Linked DNA regions of Alligator mississippiensis. The protein of the gene in region 1 purifies or fractionates together with the protein of each later gene. This does not show direct contact. Links are inferred from orthologs where the notes say so. Each region holds a gene or a part of one and is shown on either strand. Other genes may lie near its edges.

The links.
Region 2: the proteins of KCNQ1 (region 1) and AKAP9 purify together in Homo sapiens (affinity purification with western blotting; 3 studies listed by BioGRID and IntAct, with this or other methods). This does not show direct contact. The link is inferred for Alligator mississippiensis from reciprocal best matches to the Homo sapiens genes KCNQ1 and AKAP9.

The regions. Positions count from the first base shown.
Region 1 is NC_081825.1:188,958,997-188,970,731, forward strand, and holds the start of KCNQ1 (potassium voltage-gated channel subfamily KQT member 1), read left to right. Parts: upstream 1-5,827; 5' UTR 5,828-5,979; coding exon 5,980-6,383; intron 6,384-11,735. UniProt on the Homo sapiens protein: Pore-forming subunit of the voltage-gated potassium (Kv) channel involved in the regulation of cardiomyocyte excitability and important in normal development and functions of myocardium, inner ear, stomach and colon.
Region 2 is NC_081828.1:176,116,244-176,127,814, reverse strand, and holds the start of AKAP9 (A-kinase anchor protein 9), read left to right. Parts: upstream 1-5,838; 5' UTR 5,839-5,887; coding exon 5,888-5,981; intron 5,982-8,899; exon of another isoform or gene 8,900-9,108; intron 9,109-11,571. UniProt on the Homo sapiens protein: Scaffolding protein that assembles several protein kinases and phosphatases on the centrosome and Golgi apparatus. Required to maintain the integrity of the Golgi apparatus. Required for microtubule nucleation at the cis-side of the Golgi apparatus.

The DNA.
Region 1 (11,735 bases):
TGCATTAACTTTTGGGTGCAATTAGTTAAGTTGCATTAGCCCACATGCAGATGTGTTAATATGCATTAAGCATCTTCACAGGCTAACGTGACTCAGTTAATCATGCCTAAACTTGCTACTTGCTTTATGCAGGTATCAAATTTAGGTGAGATTAGCCTAAAATCACCATTTTTAAGGCACATGCAGACACACACCCTTCATGTGCCTTAAAAATGGCAGTTTCAGGCTAATCCCACTACCCCCAGGGGTATGTGTAGAAATGCCCGATGTAAATCTGTATACAGGTTCAATAAAGCACTCTGCCCTAGAGCACCTTCGTCTGACATTACATCAGATGAGGTTTAACTTTTCATGTGATCCTCCATGTTTAAAGCACTCTGCAGCCCTGAATATTTGTTGTTATGGCTACAGAGCATTTTTGGTGGCCTCATAGCATGAAAAGAATAACTTCTGTACACACCCATAACCTAAGGAAGAGGTTTTCAGAAGCATTTGGACTATATCTGCTTCCAGGAAATCAATGGAACTGGGAGTTTTACGATCAGCTTCAGTGGGAAAAAAATCAGGCCAGTGCTGATTGCTTTTGCAAATTTTACCCTAGGTATAATATCTTTCTCAATATGCAAACATATAGCACGGCACATTTTGAAAGTATTTGTCAGTATTTCCCTAGCTGTTAACCTTTGGTTTCTGGTTCTTAAATGATTGCTTTATTCTTTTTGGCCCATAAATAATAATTTTCTAAGCAGAAATGGAAACTATAATGATGGATAATGATGGTATAGTTCCTCCTTAATATTTAATTGTATGTATTCTCATTATTCAAAGTATTTCATTACTTTATTTATCAAATCAGTGCTTGCTTGCTTAGTAAATTTTTTGACACTCTTCCAACTACTATTTCCATTCTTAGCTTTCTATATGGTGATCATATTCTTTCATTTTAATTATTTTTTATTATGTAAAATAGGAAAAAATGCAGAAGATATATTTTTCAAGAAGTGAAAAACAAGAATGTCATAGATGTGAATTATAGAATTCTTTATTTTTGAAGAAATCTATCTATCTATCTAATGTAATGTGTGTGTTTTTTATATAACACACACAACACCCTTCCAAACAAAGGCTTACAAGAAGAGACAAAATAATTTACAAAAGCAACATATAAGATCTATAACAGAGACTCCCTATCCCAGAGGTTCCCAGACTTTTTCCTGTTGCATACCCCCTTCCAGATTTACCAGCTCTACCAGCATATGTTTTTATGTTTTATATTTTAACCTCTTAAATGCCAATTATTATAATGACATTTAGATCCACCACTACACATTTTTCTCCTGAGTACTTGCCAGAGATGTCTTGCACGTACCACAGTTTGTGAACCCCTGCCCTTATACCATTCCCTTACTTAATCTTGCTTGCTAAATGCCTGCCTTAATAAGGTCTTACACTGTTTCCAGAAGACAGTTTTGCATATTGTATATTAAATAGGAGACCTCCTCTTCATAATAATTAAATTAATTATTGCCTGGATTCTAGGTGCTAATTATTCATTAGTTTTGACATTTCCTTTGAGAGATGACCTTTGAGTCATAATAAGTAGGTCAAGCTTTCCAGCATTTAGTAACTAATACAAAAACTGGTTGGGTATTTTCCAGCCAAAGTTTTGAGAACTGTACTATGGTTGCTTCAGTCAGTGGGCCCCAGAGGGCAGTACCAGAATTTTCATTTTTTTTTTTTTATAACTCATCTTAAATTATCCTATTACAAAGTAGCTGGCTATGTTTTGAGCACTTTGCTCTTGTGAGTAACTGTGCATCCAGTTCCCTCTAAGAGACTTACTGTCTAACCAAAGACTTATCCAGGTGGTTTTTGTGGCTGCCTCCCACATGGTAATAGGTGTTGAAAATCCCTGACAACAGAAGCCATAAGGCCAGAGAGAGAGAATATATTTATAGAAGTCCATAGCTTCCCTTTCTGCATCCTTAAGTACGTCTTGCTTAGACCTTCATCCAAAAATCAAATGACTTTTTGCTAAAGCATTTGAGGGGGCACAAGAGTTGGTTTTCTTTTAGTGTCCTCAAGTCCATGATTCTGCAAAGGTGGGTTCATGTTCCTATGGACCCATGTATTAGCAGGCAGGGGACTCTGATGTGTACAGTAAAGGGTGGCGTGATAAACAGTTGCATGTGGATGCTTCTCACAACAAGTTTCTGACAGGTTATCTGACCACACAATGCCTAACATGGGTCTGTGCTGAGTTCTATGTCAATTAGACACAAGGAAGACATCCTTTCTTCTGACATGCTGTTTTGTTAAGGTGTCTTATGTCTTGTGTTCTCATGGAAAAAAAATGCCAGCGATTTAAAAATAGATTTAGTTTTAATTGCTTGCTTATAAAACAATCTTTGCATATTTTCCTCTTTATCAACAGTTTGCTTTCTTCATCTTTGAAACAATAGTACAAATACCCAGCAGGTGTTAATTGGCATTCCAGGGAAGACAATAGTCATGCTGGTTTTACTTCGGCTGCAAGTTTGAATGGAGGTAAAATTAGCAAAGCTGTTTTTTTTGTTTAACTTGATATAGCACCTTATCTCACTTTAGCATTTGGTTTTGCCAGTATTGCCCCTGAACTCAGCATAGCTCTGCTTGTTAACTAGTTCTGTTCTAGCCTTGGCTCAAAGTAAAAAAAGCATTTCATATCAAAGAGAAACCTGAGCTTTAGCTCTAGGAATAGAAATTGTAAGCTAATTATTGAAGCATAGGTTCCTGTAACCATGGTATAAAACAATTTGTCACACTGAAGTCAGTCATTGCTTAAAACACTAATTGGAAAAGCTATGCCAAGCCCTCATATAACCTGACAGTAAAAAAGCCCAAACATGTAAAGCAGGAGTCCCTTAATTTTCTTTTAAAGGTGGTGATGGAACAGCCAACTATGGTCTTCAGTTTGAGGGGCAAAGTTTATTACACTCTAGTTCTTCCTCCATGTTTTGTTCATTTTATTTGGAATACAATAGCACCAAGCATTGGCCCTGATTCTTGTTTGTCCTGTTGTGATGGCTATGGTTACACACAAGTTAAAATGCAAACATGACTTGGTGACCTCACAATTACAGCTCTGTTGAGAAAGGCATTTTCCATTTTGTGGAGGATTTCAGCACTCCAGGTTCTGAAGCTGTCAGAGGGATGGAGCAGCAGATGCAAGGCTCAGGCGCATACTGGTGTCCTGTCTAAAATGATAAACTCTGGGAACCCAGGCTAACTAATGTGCCATGAGCCTGACACATTAGTATCTTGTGGTGCTGGCGTTACAGGCATATAAGAGCTAGTGCTCCTAGGGCTTTCAGGTCCTTGGCTCTCCATCAGCCTGTTAAGACCAAACCACCTGGGACCATGGTCTCCCCCACAGCTGGTCAGGCAAGCTAGGAAATGTTTAGACAGGTTTCTATCAGAACCCAGCTGGCTTTCTGTTATGATTCCATCTTCCTTTCTGGGACATTTTGACTTCCCTTAGCATTCTCTGGTGGAAAAAACCAGGGCATTTCTAACCTGGTCAAGTCACAGTTTCTGTGTCAGAGAAGCTCTGAGAGAGAGATGAGACACTGGTGGCTGAGATAACACTAAGAAAAATGTACGTGTCTAAGAAGTAACTTATCAGTTTCATCTCAATGTCAAGTGTGCCACCTTGTGTTATAGAAACAGCCTTGTACAAGAGGTGTAGCTTGGAAAGGCACTTCCCTAATACAGTCTTCTAAGGTAAAATTCTTTGCCTTTGTCCATTTGTCCAGAGTAAAAGTAAATCAATAGTCTTAAAGATGCTACTATTTAACTCCCCTCTCCCCCTTGCAGAGAAGAGCTTTGCTGTCTCTCCCCGGAGCCTTAACTGTACCCCTGAAGCCAATATCCACATAGGTTGCTGTCATAGAAACATAGAAAACAAAGGCTGGAAGGGACGTCAGGAAATCACCTACTCCAACCGCCTGCTCAAAGCAGGACCAGCCCCAACTAGATCATCCCAGCCAAAGCTTTATCTAGTCGAGTCTTAAAAACCTCCAAGGATAGAGATTCCACCATCTCTCTGGGTACTTGTTCCAGTGGTTAACTACCCTCCTTAGTGAGAAAGTTTTTTGCTAATCTCTAATGGAAACTTCCCTTGCTGCAACTCAAGACCATTGCTCCTTGTTCTGTTATCCGCCACCACTGAGAACAGTCTAGCTTCATCCTCTTTGTAACCACCCTTCAAGTAGTTGCAGGCTGTCAGCTGAGTGAGTGGGATGGATAGGGCCTTTTTTCCCCAGGTGGCCAGAGGGACACAGGATCACAGGTTAGCCTTCTGGGAAAACAGATGGTTTAATCACAGTCAGGCTATAACCCCTGCCCATGGGCAGATCTAGGATTTTGAAAAGTGGGGGTGCAGCTAGTGTGGTCTAGCAAATACAAGACCACATGCATTTTTCTGAATCAGTGTTGCCAACTTTTATGATTTTTAGAGTTGTTTTTAAAGTCTATGCTTTGGGAATGTGAACAACTTGGCTCTTTCTTTTATATACAGTTATAGTTATATATAAATGTATAAAAGAATGAGCTAAGTTTTTCACATTCCTGAAACATAGACTTTAAGAATAACACCAAAAATCATGGAAGTTGGCAATACTGCTTAAGTTAAAAAGAAACTAGAAGCTTTACTAATACGTATGGGCCTAGAGTTGTATTATTTCATTTAAGATTGGAGCAAAACAAAAAATTTGGAATTTCGATATCCTATCATATGTTATATCTAAAACCACAACACACTAGGCAAAAATAATCCAATGATGTAGTTTCATTTGTCCTGGAGTCATCACAGTTGCATGCATGTCTGGTTTTCGGATTCATGAAACAAAACCAAGCCTCCCTGAGCATCTGGACAGTGCCACTTCCTTGAAACCAATTTCCGCACCTGAGCTAATGCTCACCTGAGGTAACACTCACCAGAGTTAATCTTTTTTAGCTAAAGCAGCGGTTCCCAATCTGTGGTACAGGTACCACCAGCAGTATGCAGGCAACCTGTCAGTGGTACGTGTTATAAATCATAGTATCATAGTACTTAGGATCGGAAGGGACCTAAACAGATCATCAGGTCCAAGCCCCTGCCCCGGGCAGGAACAGGTGCCGGGGTCATATCACCCCATTATAAAGTAATTGTAATCAATCTGTTAAGACAGAAATTTGCGGATGGCACTTAAGGTTGAACTGCAAAAGTTGCTGGCGGTGCTGAAGGTTGAAGCGTTTTAAATGGGTGGTGCAAAACCTGTCAGAGTTTGGGAACCGTGGAGCTAGAGTTACCACTCCGTGGGGCTGCGAGATGGAGGAGCAGGGAACAGCAGGCAAAGGAAGGTGAAGCGAAGTAGCGGGCCCAGGCAGACCATTTAAAAGGAAAGCGGGTCCTTAACACCTGTGGCATGAAGAGTTTAGCAGGAAGCCAGAGACTTCTTATGAGCTACCAAGGCACTTGACTGACCCCTCCCAGCTGCCTGGCTAGAAGCGCTGCTGCCACAGCTTAGGCTTCAAACTTAGGCTAGAGCAGGAATCAGAGCGGGGTGCAAGTGCAGCCCTGCCCTCCCACCTGGACCCTGCCTTTAAAGGGACGTCCAGCGCCTGTGCTGGCTGCTGCCTTCCCGGGGCTGAGATCAGACACAGACACCCACACCCCGCAGCGCCCTTGCCACCTGGGTGGCGCGGGGCGTGCGCGCAGGGGAGGGCGGGGAGCCCGCCGCACCGCGCCGCGCCCAGCCGGGAGCGGGGCGGGCGCCCGTGGCACGGGGCCCCGGGTCGGGGTGGGTGGAGACCTCGCACCTTCCCCGCAGGAGCCCAGCCCCGAGTGGGCCGGGCCAGGGCGCTGCCGGAGCCAGCGAGCGCGCCGCCTCTCCTCGCCCCCCCCTTTGGTTCGGGCAGGAGGGGGGCACGGGGACAGCGCTGCCGCCGCTCCCCGCCATGTCTGCCCCCGGCCCCGAGCCGCAGCCCGAGAGGCGCCGCTGGAGCCTGGGCCGGCTGTCGCTGCCCCGCAAAGCCAGCATGCCGCCCTGCGCCAAGAAGCCCGCGCTGGAGCTGGCCGAGAGCGCGCCCGGCGCGCACTACGCGCCCATCCCCGCCGCCCGCGACCCGGGCCAGGGCCAGGGCCAGGGCTCCGCCTGCCCGCCGGGGGCCCGGGACGGCCCCGACCGCCAGCTCCACAGCGACGTGGTGGTGGTGACCCCGGCGCCGCTCAGCCTGGACCCCCGCGTCTCCATCTACAGCATCCGCAGACCTCTGCTGAGCCGCAGCAACCTCCAGGGCAGGGTCTATAACTTCCTGGAGAGACCCACGGGCTGGAAGTGCTTCGTCTACCACTTCACCGTGTGAGTAGCACCCCGCCTTCACTGCCCCCTGGCTTCTCACCTGCCCCCGCCTCTCTGCCCAGGGCCTCCTCGTGCCTTTTTGAAGCCTGAAAGTGCCCCTGGATAGCCTCCCACGGACCATGCCACTATTTTGTTTTCTCTTCCGTTGTTTGGCAACTGGGAAATACCAGCCTCTTTCCCTTGTTGCTGAGAACTGGGGATGGTTGGGTGGTTTTAACCCCATGGAGCCCTCTCTGCAGTCTCTGGGGTTGTCTTGTGAGTTGTGATCACCTTTGCTCGCTTGGCAGCACTAGTGTGTAGCAACCCATGGTGCCCTTGAAAAGATCTCCAGGCACCCTAGGGTGTCACAGCATCCTGGCTGAGTCCTCTTTGCAGTCTTGGGGTTCATCTTATGTCCTAACAATGCTGTTGTTGCATGGCATCCTTTGGCACCCTTGAAAGGATCTCAAGGCACTCCAGGGTGCCCCAGCACCCAGGTTGGGAATCCCTGCCCTATACATCCCTCTGCTGTCCCCGACAGCCTGTGCTGAGGCAAAAGGGAGCAAGCAGAGAGCGTGTTTTCTTGGGCTTAGCAAGTGTAGTCGGGCTGCCGAATGATCTGACTTCTTGAAAAGGGCAACTGCACTGAGCTCTCCCACCTTTTGGCCTCCAGACCAACCAAACTGATTGGCATAGTCAACCACAGTAAATTTCCCACAGCCTCTGGCTTTCTGCTGTTTTGTTAATTGTTTTGCTGCTCTGCATCTGTCAGAGGAAAAATCTTACCCAGCTGCATCGGGGAGGTGTGTGTGCTGCATGTTTTATGCAATATGTAAACTCTTTTCAGTTGCTTTTTTTCCCCCCCTAACAGATAAAAAACCTACCTAGCCAAGGGACTATAAATCTTGCCATCTTGACTGACCTGTATCTATTTTTAATGAATGTGTTTGACCTGTGCATGTGTTCTGTTCATTCATTACTGTTTTTGGAGAGCAAGCCATGAAGTGTTGAGAACTCTTTATTCCTACCACGTTACAGAGCAAATAAATTTTGCTCTGCACAGGGCACTTTAAACTATGTGTCAGCACTTGTTTGAATAATTATTCCAGGCTTGATTCTGTTACCTGTTTGCTTCCACACTGACTAATGCTTGATCCTGTGTGCAGTCCATGGAAGTCAGTAGAACTGTTCATTGACTTGGGAACAATGTGACTAATCAGCCTCAAGATGAGCCAGGCAGATGGAGCTGGTCCTCAAGACCTTAAGATACATTTCAGAAGACTCGCATTCGGTGGATGAAAATTCGTAATACCAGTTCCTGTACTGGAAATTGCATGCTAGCCAGTCATCACTTTACACAACTTCTTTTTTCTTGAATTGATAGGAGGGTTATTAAATAGCTCTAATAATTAAGTTTTGCGTACTTAATTTAGGGTTTTTTGTTGCGTATATGAAGCACTGAAGACTAAAATTTTCAGTCTTTATTCTGGATTGTGATACTTGAGGCATATCCACAGTGACTCTACGGATGTATCAAAAGTGGTGGCTGCTATTGCTGCTGGTGTGTGTGTGTGTGTGTGTGTGTGTGTTTTAAACAAGCAAACTTGTGTCTGAATCCAAGAACATAAAGGGATAATAAATATTAGACGTGGCATGTTTTCTTTTATAAAGTGGCTTTTATTCTTCCAATTGACCCAAATTACTTTACTTTATTCTTCCTGTTGGTTTGAGAACGATACAGTAGGCTGCATTTTAATGGGCTAATGGCTTGTTTCTAATCTGCATTTAAAACCTTTTACTTCTTAATTATTCCAAATTATTATTACTTTCTTCCTCATCTCCATCATATTAGGTAGATCGGTTGTGCCACAGAATATGGCAGGAGACATGTTACGTCTATACTGTAGAGGCAGTTGTATCTTTGCCTTTCCTGATTCTGTTACGGACATGGTCCTTCATCACATTCTGTTAAGCCTCATGGTGCATTGTGTATGTGTGTCTCTGTTATCACTCTTATTTTTAGTCAAGTGAAAAGAGGCTAAAGCAACAAATGTTAGAGGCTAAACTGAGTGCAGTGTCTGTAATGTACCTGAAAGTGGAGCAATGTGATGGTTGTGAATTGGTGAAGCAGTGGATCAGTTCTGTTGTTCATCAGAAGCCTACAAATGTATGCATGAAAAATTAATGTTTTTTTAATCTAGAACTTGTAAAGTGTTGACATAACCCTTGAGCAATTTGCATATGCTACATCTGCATAATAAAATAAAAATGAACTGAGATGGATGTCTTGAGTTTGCTTAGTTAGGGAAAAATACAAAATCCCGTGTCTGAAGGCAAAGTGCGTCATAAAAAAACATTTTTGAATTTTGCATAATGCTGAAGCTTCTTAGTCTGAACAGGCTGGGTCAGTTGGTGCTGGCATATCTGTCATTTGAAGGACCAATCCTAATACTGGAAGCTGAGTTAGGTCTGGTGGTGGGGGTGACTTTGGATGACCACAGTAATTTATGGTCTTACTCCATGCCTGAAGTTTTGAATGCTGTATGTAGATGGATAAGCAGTATTAACCCTACCTAAGAAGCTGGAAAAACAGGCATGGAACGTAGACTTCCATGTAAGTACGCTATAACCATGAGAGAATCCATTAGACCAATGACCAACATTTTTCAAAAGTGATTTTTGGGGACCTGATTTAGAATATTTTCAAGGGAGTTGTTTCTATCCTATCTTCTCCGCCCCAAAAAACAAAACAAAACCAACAACAAAACAAAACCACCCAAATCAAATTAATGTGCTTCAGTATTCATCCTCCTTCAGGTGTCCCAAGTTATACATCCAAAAACAGAAGTATCCAAAATTATTTTGAAATTCATAGTTAAAGTCTTTTCAAGTGCTAAGAAGTTCTACTCTAATGTTGGGTGTAGGTAAAGATATTTAAGTAGTAGAAGGAATGGTTGAATCTCCTGAGATGTAAATGATATTTATGCTGCTGTTCTATTTGGAAACCTGTTATTTTAAGCCTTATTCTGTGACTTAAAATGTTACTGTTCATCCTGTTTTCTCCAGAAAAAGAGAGAGAACTTCTATCCTCTCTCTCTCAAAAAAAAAAAAATGATGGAAATGGAAAAAAGAAATGAGATTAATATCTGAGTTTACATAACTTGGAAGGTAGCATAGGTGTGCACCTTTATAGACTGACTAAAGGGGGTGTGTGCACATGCATAGGGCACAAACTTTTGTACATCTGATAAAGTAAACTTCTACTCATGAAAGCTTGTGCACATTTATATCATCTTATTTAACTAGTCTATAAAGGTGCATATCAACCTTGTCTTCTGACTTCAGACTAACACTGAAGTCAGATAGGCATCTGACTGAATGAACACTGAAGTTGGATATGCATCTGGCTGTGGTCATCTGATCCCAGCACTCTTTCCTGCCTAGGCAGGGGGTCGGACTCGATGATCTGTTGAGGTGCCTTTCAACCCAAACATCTATGAATCTATGAACACGGCTAACTGCTTCTCTGCTTACCTAACTTAAACATCACTGCTAGATTCTCAGGTGGTATAGATTAGCTCAGCTCTCTTGCTTTCCGGAGTCATATGGACTTACACCAGCTGAAGATCTGCCTTACTGTTTTAACTAGACTTTTGAAGACAGTAGGTAGTGTGGGCTGATGTTGTCTGCTGTTCTATAGGAGCTAATTAGAGATATTGTAATTCTGTTAGGAAAATAGCTAGTCTGTCCAGGAAGTTTTAATTTATTTTTCTAAGTGATGTGGTCGTTTGCATGCATTGATCTCATTGAGCTTCTGTAGCTCCAAAGAAACTGAACTGATGAAGAACAATAATGATAATTTTTCTTAAACCCCTCAATACATGTTTACAAACTTCCAAGTCTGTGCTTATAACACTGTAAGGCGTGTGGCCTCCCTAATACACTTGCATTCCCTTCTAGGAAGGTATTCAGCAATAATGATTTTTCTGGTGTAGATTTTTTTTTTTTTTAACCTCTCTACTTGCCATCTTCTGTCAGTAGGGGGAGCCGAATTTATGTCTTACTGTGTGTGCAGCCAGCAGCAATCTCTGTTTTTGTATGTCTCCAGCAGTCCTGCTTCCATCTTTGTGTCTTCTCTTACACTCCTCCAGTTTTTTGTTTTTTATGTGCAGCCTGTAATTTTCTTCTGGTCTTGTCTCTGCCTGAAATTCCTTGGGTTCTCATCCTTCCCAACCCATCTACTCCCTAGTACATCCATTGTTCACTCTGTGGCTGGGCCAGGGGTTGATCAAGGTGACCGTCTCTACCAACTGGAGGCAGTAGCTATTAGTAGCAACTGAGAAGAAAAGGTCCTACATCGTTTTGCAGACAGGGGCTTGGAGAGGCCAACTGTTAGAAAGTTGGAAGCATCCATCAGTTTCTATACATTTGGAGAAAAAACTCGGAACAACTTTGGTTAGAAGTTAGGAAGCTCTGTTAGGTATTCCAGGTGATGAACAGGGTGGTCTGATCCTACATAGCCATTGCTGTGTACTGATTCTTTTGTTGCAAGGAAGCCAGGCTCTGGATAGCTGACAGGTATAGAACAGCAGTTATTTGTGGTATGAGTACCACCAGTGGTACGCAGGCAGCCTGACAGTGGTACACATTAAAAGATTTATTATAATTACTTTATATGACAAAAATTTTCTGGTGGTACTTCAGGTTGTATCGTTTTAAACTGGTAGTACATGATCTGTCAGTTTGGGAACCGTTGGTATAGAAAGTCTGAGGCGTTATTTAGTGCTTTGATTTATTTATTTATTTATTTTATAGACTTGGATGTATAATAGATAAATTGGAGAACTGAGGTGCTCTTTTGTGTGGGGCATGGATTTTGATAGGATTAGATGAGCTGAGGTGTTTTTTATATGGTTGCCATCACCATAGTACTTGAATGCATCTTAAGTGCCTTCTCAGGCATTGGGAGAAATGGCTCTCTCTCATTATGTTCTTCATACACAGAAATAAAATAAACTATGTTGAAAGTAGCATTTAACATTGAGTTGTGAAAGTAGGAAGCACCATCATCATTTTTTATCAGCCTTTCTTGTTATCTGGCTGTTCTTCATCCAAGTATCTATTTTGGCATAGCAACAAAGAAAGGGAGACATGGTACTATTTATGTTTGATATGCAAACAGTTATAGAGTTTCATCTCATTTATGTCCTGTTGATAGGACCTTTCCATGGACCCTAATATAGGTTCAGGAGAGATTAAGGTTCTGTGGGACTCTAGAGTTGATGGCTGTTGTTTCACAGGAACAGGGTACCAGGATGACCCTTCAGGTTCAGGTGAAAATGTTAGGACTGAAAGTTTGGTGCTCAGTGTTAT
Region 2 (11,571 bases), on another chromosome or scaffold:
TCTGCTGCTCTCCTTCCTTTCCTCAGGATCCCCAACTCAATCAGCTCATGGTCACTGCTGCCCAAGTTGCCATCCACTTCTATGTTCCCCACCAATTCTTCCCAGTTTGTGAGCAGCAGATCAAGAAGAGCAGAGCCCCTAATTGGCCTCTTCAATACTTGCACCAGGAAGTTGTCCCCAACACTCTCCAAAAACTTCCTGGATTGCCTGCACACTACTGTATTGCCCTCTCAGCAGACATCAAAGAGATTGAAGTCTCTCCCCCCAAAGAACCAGGGACTGTGATCTGGACACTTCCACTAGCTGTTTGAAGAAAACCTCATCCACCTTATCCTCCTGGTCTGGTAGTCTATAGCAGACACCCACCACATCACCCTGTTGCTCACTCCTCCTACCCTAACCCAGAGGCTTTCAACACACTTTTACCTTCCTTTTCTCTTCTCCTTTATTATCCCACTCTCTTTCTCTTAGTCATCTATTCCCTCTTTCATATCCTTCAAAAATCTCATTCCTCTTGCATGTTATCAAGGTGGTTTCAGTTGCAGCAGCTGTAAGTAGCAGTTTTGATATCAAACTCATAGGTCAACCAGAATTGAGCCTCTGGAAAGGACTGAAAAGCCTAACTCGTCCTCAATAACAGTGGTGCAACAGTAACACCTGGGGTATATGGATAACACCTGCCAGTGCTTTTCAGTATCTGAGTTACATGCACATCAATCTTTTCTATTCACATCTGGAAAAAAATCAAAATAATCACATATTGTCATATGGGTTAATGATCAAAAAAGCAATGGGAAACAGCAGAAAATGTAAGGTCAGTGAAGCTACTTGGCTGCTTAAATATCCCAATAAGTATCCACCATGTTTCAGAAATGTACCCTTACAACTACATGTCTGTGTTATTGTCACTAAATACATTTGCAACTATGAATGTATCCATTAGAAAATACTATGTCCCATATTTTCTCCTGGTGTAATTGTGCACAGCTCCGTTTTTGTTCTCCATGGGTCCAGGTATATCAGTAGAGAATTTAGTCCTTAAAGTACGATTTTCCCTCTCGTCTTTTTTGCTCGACACCGATCCTTTTGCTTTTGTTTAACACTTGTTCCTGTACTTTTACCTTCCTCTGTTATCTCAGGGCTTCTTGTCAATGGTCAGAGCAGTATACCACCTCCAGCTGGCAAGGCAGGTGCCACTCCTATAAGTCTTATAAGTTGTTGACACTCCTAAAATATGAAATAAAGAACATCAGCCTTACATTCTGTCCTGTATCAATGCACAATTAGGAATATTCTTTCAGCAAATATAACTTACACCTAAATAACATGGCTGTCATCCCCCACTTCCCACCTTCACTATACTACTGTGCTGTGGTTAGCCTATGTACAGAAGTTTAAGTCAGCTACAGCTTTTCAGCTGCAGGACTGGTGATGTGTTGTTGGAAGTGGAAGCTAATGCTTTTAGATCCAGAAAATGCAAGCTTAATTCCTGCTGATAATGACTCAGCCAAAAGACAACCAGATCTCCTTCTAGTATGTTTAATTTTATAACCAATCCCTTCCATGCAAAATTACTAAAATAAAGTAAAAGGAGATATTCCAGGTGCAGCTTCTAAAGCTGGTATCATTCATTATTCCTGGGATCAATAGAAGAAACCAACTTGATTGCTATAGCTGCTGTTTCCCCTCCAAAACAGGCTCTTCAGGATGTAGAATAGGATGCATCAACCAGCCAATCCCCACGCTTAAAACTACCAAGCAGTGGTAAAGCAACATTACTCTGTTGGTACCCAGTTGTGCAGGCTTTATAATGTCAATCAGAAATAACTAATCAAACTATATCCATAAGTGTATACTTACACAAAGCAGTTTCATAAAAAACAGCTTCAGTGTTAATCCTTTGTTACATATTTTAGGATAATCAGTTCTCTCTCATAGTACCAAATGCTTGGTATGTTTTGTCAGAAAATAGATGAAGGGGCTATGAGAGCTGTTTAGGAGTGGGGAAGGAAGTTTTGTATGTAAAATAAAATTCAATTTTTTCATGAACTATAATTTTCCAGGTTTGTTTAATAAAGGAGATCCAGTTATAATACAACTAAATTGTTTGAGCTCAGCTGTTATTAATGATTCTTTATTTTTTATAATGCAGTAGCACCCAGATCAGAGCAGGCATTATTGTACTGTACAAACTAACAAAGACCCATTATCTGTCCTGAAGAGCTTGGGTCGTATAGCCCTGATCCTGATACTGCAGTCATACCCTTGCTTAACATGACACTAGTTGATATCAAAGGGATTATTCAGATGTCTAAACTAAGTATATGCCTCACAGTTTGTGCTATTGAGACTTAAATGCAAAAGCATGATACTAGAGTTCAAAGACGTGTTTCTACTTGGAAAATAAGCTCTAAACAGCTACTACCAAGTGGTCTTTTTATTGCTTATACTTTTTTTTTTTTTGTATTTTCTTTTTTCATTATTATCCACTTGTCAGAAATGACGGATACGGCCAAGGGAAAGGAAGCAGCATTCCTCCAAAGCGGCCAGGGATTTTTCATTTAAAAGCTTTGTGCTATTTAAAATGATGCCTGACCATAACTTTTCTGCCCACCGGTCAGGGTGAGCGAGAACGTGTGTTCAGATTGCCTGGACAGATGCAGGGTGGGGGAAAGTAGTCAAGAAAAAAAAATCAGGCTAATGAATGAAGTGAATATGCAACAGCTCTAGTAAGTCCATTCAGCCTAAATATATTGCTCTAAACCCACGTCCTCTAGTTTCATGCTGCCTCGCTTAGCAGCAATGTATCCCAAGAGTTGCTCTCTGATCAGCCCACCTTCCCTGTGCTCCGAGGGCAGGTCTGGGGACATGAAGCTCCCATCAAACAACTCCCCGAGTCAGGCGATGGCCAGGGGGCAAAGCAGCGCCTCCTTCCCCGGGATAGCGACTGTCCTTGTCCTGCCGCGGCTTCCCTCGGGTCCTGGCACACGTGCTTTCTGCTTCACTCGCCCGGCTGCGCCTCACTGCGGCCACGTGGAAAGCACAAACGCCCCAGGCTCGGTGTGCTGCCGGATCCCCACCCTCTGCGCTGTCTCTGGGGGCTAACCAGCCCACCATGCCTGTGCAGGGTGCTCCTCCTCGACGCAGGGTAAAGGTGAAAGCCAGAGGAAGAAGGAGTCAATTCTCATACAGAAGAAACCATCAGTTTCGAAAGGCTTGCATGTTATTCCGGTGCTGCCACCTAGCAGAGCTTCGTTCCCATTCAGATGTATTGGTTTTTTCAAACTAAGCCTCTGGACCAGGAGATGGCAGTGTAAGACAAACTGAAGTCATATTTTGGGAGCTGCAGTGCATTAAGCATATAACTGAATAGCACGCGTTCCCAACCTACTGTAATATTTAAGACTTCAAGGGGTAATAACTTTAAAGAGAAACTAAATTTAAACTGAATTTTTGGTGCACACCTATTTTTTTGACACGAAAAAAAAGCATGCGCTGCAGACCTGTACAAGGGAAGCTTAGTAGAATTTCTCTTCTAGTAGCAGCAGATTTACTTAACGATCAAGATTTGTAACTTGCAGGAGAGCTGTGTTGTTTTCTGACTGGTGACTGTTTTTAGGAGAACTTAATAAAGCAGGAGACAGTATTGGTAGCTCGTGGTGGTTGGTCTGTTACAAACACAGGATTTGTGTTGCAGTATTGTGTGTTATAATTAAGAGGCAAAAAAGTATCACTGACATAGGATACCACATTGATGCAGTTATGCATGACTAAAGATCAGTTTTTTCACAAGTGTTTTACCTGTCTTCCTTTAAAAGAAAATCTTTATTATTTGCATATCACTTTATCAGATGTAAACTGGATAATTTAATTACACGTTGTTCTTTTTTTTCTTCCCCCCCCCTTTTTTTGTTGCAGAAAGTAGACTTTACCTGCTGCTTACCCACAAAATATGTTCAAAATTGATCTGAGGATCAGATTTCTGTCTTGGAAAACAAAGACCTGACTCTAGTCCTTGGTTACTGAATTGGAAGTCTTTATTTCACAGATAAAGAATACAAGTATTAGCAACAACAAATAAAAATTCCCTACCCACCATCCCATAGTTTCAAAATCAAACCTGTTTTGGTTAACAGCGATTCACAGCTCTGTTGTATGCAAAGACTCCATCCATCTACGTAAGTTTGACATTGGTCCAGAACGCTCTTGTAGAGAATATGGGATGGAGAAGTAAGCCACTAGCATTCTGACCAGTGGTGACAGGTCTCTAAAATGTTTGTCAATAAGGTCTTGGGTAGCATGAAACAAGGAGCAGAGATGCTGGTATTGCCATCCATGTAGCTCCATCAAATTGCCTTTGTCTACGAAGTCATGAAGTAAATTAGTAAAAAAAAAAAACAATGTGTCTAGTGTTGTCATCATCATATTCACAATGGGGCCCAAGTATTTTCTTAAATCAGAGATTCAGAAAAGGCAAGGATTTTTTTTTCTTGATTGATTTTCATTTTATTGTAAAGAAAGCTTTACCTACCTTTACTGGACTAAAAGGATTAACAATGCATTAGGGTAAATCTTGTCCCTAGTGCTCAGTCCGACAACAGAACTCAGGGGTGGAGTAGCTTCAGTGGCTAGATCTGAACAGTATCTGATGCATATGCACAGTAATGGGTCCATTCCCTTAACTAACCTACCTACCTCTTTTCCTACCCATCCCTATATAGCTGTCTGGCACTGGCTTTGGGGAGCCTCTGTGATGATTCATAGGGTGTAGGAATGTGCACTTTCTTTACAAATTCTGCATACACATATACACATTGCCTGATGCTGACCCATTCAAGTTCTGCTTCACTTGAAACCCACTGTACCTGAGGAGGTGGGGAAAAATTAGCCACTAAGTACCCAGGCTAAGCCTCAGGTTCTTAACTGGATTTACAAGTTCTTCTGGGACCAATAGAGCATGGCATGTCAAGCCTTATCCTTTAAATAAAGGTAATAATACTAAAATGCATGGATTTTAGTGTGATGTAATGCTTTAGGACTAATTCTCATTATGAAAGTAATTAACTTCTACAAGATATTTTGGGACATCTTAAGACTTAAATAACTTGGGCTTATTAGCAACTGCAAAATTCAGTAAAAGAATCTCCATTCTAGGCACACGTTTTTCCAGATTTCTCAGTTGTGGCATCCTTTCTGATCCCTGGAGTTCCTCTTTACACATTCAAATGTAGAAATTCTAATCTACTGTGAAATATAATCTGCAGATATCTGAAGGGAGGCAGTGGGAACTGGTTGGTACCTACTCTGGTAAACTAATTTCATTCCCCAAACCTACGGAAAACACATGGACATTGCCTTAAAGGTTATAAGAACTTTCATATTATTCATCAAAGTTTCATATTCTATTTAAAATTAATAAAAATAAATAAAATTAATAATTACATACATACAAAAGATAGGAGGAAAATAATATTGCTTTTTCAGAAATCAAGTACGTACAACAAGCATAAATGAATAGTATTCTAAAAACTTAAAGGAAACTGGGACAATTATGCATAACTCAGAGTAAAATATAAGTTTCCTGTAATATCTCTGAATACGTCAAATGATTTGCTATAGAAATTGATCTTCAGCACTTAGCTGAATTAGCAAATGTCAATCAGGTGCTCTAGAGATAATTAATTAATTACTTGTATTCCTTTCAGGCTTGCTTAAATTACCTTGCCTAATATATTATGCCTCCAGAATAAATTATTCATCTCACTAAACTTGTTCAGCTGCAGACCTTATGCCTCTTTTCAACTACAGTATTTATAGTAAAGCAACAACCAGCTCATACCAACAATATTTGCCACTATAATTGAAGGATAAGATATAATAATGAAAAATGTCCAAAAAAAGATATGTGGCGCTTACAATCTGTCAAACTATAAGCTGCACAACTCCAGGATTCAGAATACAAAGACACTCCTCTTCAGGGGGTATGTATTATTGCAGTTTTACAAGAGGTCTGTGCTTCTCTAATTGTATGAGTTAGTGATTCTTTTAATCCCTTTTAAACTAAAGAGAAACATGGTGGGTGTTCAGAAAATGTGAAAAGCATTTATTTTAAGTTCACACATGCACCTTTAAGGTTTGTGAATGAGTATGCTTGTATATATGTATTGAATGAATGCATGCATAGAATGGGGGGGGGGGGGCGGCACATGTTCAGATGCAGACTGCAACAGTCTATAAAAACATTCAATAAAACTTATCTTGATTTACAGAACACTGTGAATATTTAATAACAATAATAAATAAAAAGAGTCATATGCAGGAAGGAGTAGTATAGTGCTTTTGTTGGATATAGCTTGTAAGAATGGTGTTAATTTACAACTAATGTAGAAGCATCAACACACTTTTGTGACTTCCCAAAAATTAAAATGTTATGTTTCCTTCCTTCCAGTCCAAACTGTTTCATAGGCTTAGATTGTTAATTGACTAAACAAAATATGTAAACAGATAAAAATAAAAATGTGGTTAGGAGACCTTGATCAACCACTATATTAATCACAAGCCACAATGTATGTTTTTAAACAAACCTTGTCATCTTATTCAAGGGGGGTAGAATGCTCAGTTTTCGCTCTTCAAACTATCTCATGTCCTAGCCACTCGGCTTCCCTAGCAGACTTTAACAATCAAGCCTCTAGTATTAATCCTGTCAGAAATTGTACTTCAATAAAAATTTGGAGGAAGAGAGTATGTGCAGAAGAAATGTTTATCATTTTAAATAGAATATTCTATGGTCAATAAGTCAAATACTGCCTGAGATTTCAAAGGCCTTGCACCTATGTACACCAGGACTGAATTTGGCCTTATTAATCTATCTAGCAGTTATCTTATTAGGCTTCTGAAATAACAAACTTTACACATATTACTTAAAATGCTTCCCTACTGCAACCATGGTGACAGTAGCCCACAGCATTCTGGGATCAGTATATACATCAGTGCAAAGTAATGCTCTGCTGAGCTGTGGAGCAGATAGTAAGGGACTGAAAGGGGTGAGGAAACAGAACTGGTGTAGCAGACTGGCAAGGGATGAGGTAAGGTATTTGTCAAGTTAACCTCTTATTCCGTGTTTATTCTCATGCCAAAATGGAAATCATTTTTATAGTTACTGCAACAATCTAATGCTGGGTGTCTATCCTGCTCACTGAATTTCACTGTAAAACCTCCACTAGTTTTTCAACAGAAGCAGGCCTTGATCAAATAGTGTTTTAGGGATAGTCTGTTCTCAAATATCTTATTTTTATATGATATCATTCACAATTCTGTTCAGTCTATTCTTTTAGGTGTAGGCTTTGTACAGCACATCTCAGTGTAACAATAGAAGGGTGGGACTGCATCCATCAGAGGCAGGGAGCTAGCATGCTGCTAACTGACTGATACATTCATTTATATGTGTACACTCACATTTTTCAGCGCAAACCTAAAATAGGAGAGTTGTCATATTGGATGGCAGGAAAACGTTCTGATTTGCAGGGGGGGCATAGTCTTACAAGGCAGTCGGTTCTGAAACAGTCGTGTAGTTCATTTAGGATCTTTTTCCTTCAATATTTTATTTACTATACAACCCATGTATAGTTGGATTCACAAACTATAGCCTGGTATTAAGCTATCTGTCTCTGGTAAGTCATCACAGTATCTCGGCATTTAGCTTTAGGCTTCAGTGACAAATGTATCTGTTTAGTTCAGGGGTTAGCAATTGATGGCCCCTGGACCCAATACAGCCCATAAAGAGACTGTATCTAGCCAATAAAGCTGGGATAGTGGTAGGAGGAATTGGCAGCATTCAGCAGTAGAATAATTGGTCGCACACGACAGCAGCTAGATCCAAAAAACACCTTTTGACTAAGCTCTGTTAATTCAACCAGACACTGCTAAAAGGCTGACCTCTGATCTAGTTCCTTGAAATTCTAGAACTTCTGCGATTCATTCGTGCAACTGAGCAAGGATACACTCCACAATTGTAACTTTCCACCTGAAGTCCTTTCAGACTCTGACTACAGCAGGCTGTAGCAGAGGTGAGATCATCCTATTTTCCTTTGGTTTCTAGCTGGCAAGTAAAACTTCATCTCCACCCTCTGGCATTCCAATTTTTTAAGGTGTACCAGGGAAAACTTCACAAACCAGCAAATAGAAGGCAGGCTGGAGGCAATGAGGAGGGAGAGATCAATTGTTAGGCAAAGTTGTGTGTCCTGATGTCCATAAGGAAAGAGATTAATGCTGTTGCTTTGCACAGAACCCCTTAAGGATAGTCAGCTTTGATAGTCAAAGTTAGTTTTAATGATGTTTATAATAACTGTTGCTTTGTTTTTAAAAATAAATAAATGATTGAAGTGCTGATTTACATTTACTTACGTTGGTCAGGGAATCTCGGATCTAGATTTTAAAATTTGTTTTTATGCTAAAAGTTTAAAGCAATTTACTCATTTGTCTACGGCGTGTACTCAAGAAAGACTAGTAAATGAACCAGGATTATTAAATATTGATGAACTGAGGGTTGACCCTTAATCAAGCAGTGTCTTAAATTAGCCAGTACTGATCGTCTTTCATCTGGGAATAAAAATATTTCTACAGATCAAACTTTAAGTGGCTAAATGGCTAACTGAGTTGTAAACCTACAGACCAGCTGACTTAGTATGAAGTTATATGAATTTCCACTCTATAATTAAAGCAAGAGATGCGCTCTTCTGTTCCTATAAAATTGCAAAGGTTCTCTTCCCATCCCCATACACACACTACTGTATTAGCATTAACTTGCAAGATTTAGGAGGGAAAATTGAATGATTAAGTGTTATCTCTTTAAAAGGAGGGCAGCACACCTCTTATTGAACCAACTGCATGGTTAGGATAGATTGTAGACTTGGGTATCACAGTACCCTTCCTAGGGTGTCTAGAAGAGAAGCAGGCACTGCAGTTAAATAGCAGATGGAACAGGACAGTAAATAGCAGTGTAAAACAGGACACAATGGAAAATGTAAGGTAGCTAACAAAAAAAGAGATGTTAAGAACCTGATGAGTGGATGAACAGCATTGTTCAGGAGGGTCATTATCACCTGTGAAGTAAGTGAGATTAGTGAATATCAAACAGGTTATAATGGATTATAAAGTCACTGTCTATGTTAAGCCCCTGGTTCTTCTTGTCCAATTGTTCTCAGGCATGTCTTTTAATGGAAATGTACAAAAAACCTTTAAGTACTGTACAAAAACTGTGACGTCAGACAGGGAATGATTATTCTTTAAAAATCTTCTCTCTTACCTGTGTTCTAGTGTCTATGTCCTTTATCTTTCTTTGGTGATCGTTCATTTGGTGCATGGCACTCTTTGTTCTGGTTTCACCCATGTAGTTCTTGTGAGGGCATTTGGTGCACTGGATGAGGGAGGACCCTTGGATTCTGCTGGTTTTACTATGGGGAGTATTGATTCTTTGACAATAGAAATTAGTTCAGAGGTCTTGGATTTACTTTTGTGGCAGGGCTGGGTCCCATTAGGTGCCTGTTAATCAATAGGGAGTTTGCTTGTGATGAACTTGGAACCAGTGTTCTCTGCTGCAGTGTGCTTACTGGGTAATGACAGTTTTTTCATTTTGGCAAGATCAGTGTTGCATGTATTTTCCTCAGAGCAGATGTGTGTATCTGAAGGCCTGACTAGATTACAGCTTTTTGGTGTGTTTGAGATGATTGCTGGTTTTGTGGATGTAAATGTGGCAGTCCATGGGTTTTCTGTATACAGTGGATTGTAGGTTGCCATTCTGGGTGTAGATCACAATATCTAGAAAGCTGATATTAGTGTAAGAGAGAATTTGACTGAAAAGTGGTAGTCAATAAACCTGTGGTGGAAGTCAATAAGTGAGTCCAGCTGTTCTGTCTAGATGATTAAAATGTCAGAAATGTAATGAGAATATAGTGCAGGTTCAGTGAAATTTTCTAAAAATTCTTCTTCCAAGTAGAATTTAATCAAATTGACATACTGTGCATACAATAGGTTGGGTTCATGTGCAACTCCTTTAATACATGGCTGTAAAACTCCAACTGGGGAAAATGAAGCCTATCATTTCTTAACAATCATTCATGGTATCATTTAATTATAGGACTTGGGGGTCCATAATTATCTTAATGCAATATTTAGTGATTGAGAAATTACTGTTACAATGTAATGCATGTGTGATGAATTAACAAAACCTGGCTACTATTTCAATGGCCTTAAACTCTGTCTACCAAAGAGCAACATAATTTACATGGATGATATGACTTGCTCATTCTTGGGGTTAGATCCAAAACCTATTGAAGAAAGCCATTCAATTTTCTGCAGTTTTGAGTTGAAGGGTTTTTGTTTTGGGTTTTTGTTTTTACTGATCCTAGAACATAATTTTAGGGACTCTCTAAAACTCTACTTTTATTTTTATGGGAAAAACTTCAACTTTTACTTACAAATTATTTGTTACCTTCCTTAACTTTTTTCCAGCACAGCCAGTGAATAGATGCTAGAATTTGTCTGCTTCATGAATGAGCTGCTAGCTAATTGTTACCTTCAGGCAACCCTTTATTTTCTTTACAGGCTAACTTGAAACACAATTCAATTTATGAACTTGTGCACCTGTGTAAAGGTAGCTGACTTGTGTATCTACATAAACCCAAACACACCCTATGCCTGTTTGGGATTAAAAATTGATTTAAAAAATTTATATAAAAATTATTCTTTCTTTTAAAATCATGAGACGACCATAAGAGTTTTTTTACATGCACAGATTTGGTTTAGCTTGAATGTAAAACTTGGTTGAAAGAGTAAGAGGCCCACGAGTTTTCTTCCCAGTCCTGTTCCATAACACCTTGCAAAATGTATTTCACTTAACATTTGAGTACTGCTGGCCCTACACTTGACATTTGAAAATTAAACAAATGCGCAAGCCCTCTTTCCATGCCCCCTCCACCCCCAGTCCTGCAAATAAAATTCCAAGTAATCCAGAACTTCAGAAAAGGCCGAGTTCTGAAAATAAGTGAAAGGAAAATCTTATTTTATCTACACTTATGTGATCCATTCATGTAGCTTCCACTAGCAAGGCCTAATGGCTCAAACATGAAGGTTGAGAACCCATGACTTTTAATCTTATTTTTCTACTGGTTTAATAGTCTTGTCTGCATGGAACAGACTAAAGTATTCCATTCTCTCTTCTTCTCCAGGGGAAGAAATGAGGTGAAGCAGAAATATGGCCCATAAATATCTTTACTATTATGTCATCTAATCCATTTACAGCAGATCTGGCTGAAAGATCTGGTTTCCAGTCTTCTTTGAGTGCCAGCATTGTTGGAAATGCTTCAGTGCTGGAGTAAAGGTGGATATTAAAACAACCAGACAAATTGGACCCAACCCCTTTCCCCTCCAAAAAAACAACTAGTATGTAGACAGGATGCCATATACTTCAGAGAAAACTGAACTGGGTCACAAACAGTATTTATGTTTCATAGTAATTATCTATATTGTACTGAGATTTTGAATGAATGCTACTTTTTAGTAGAAAACACTGTG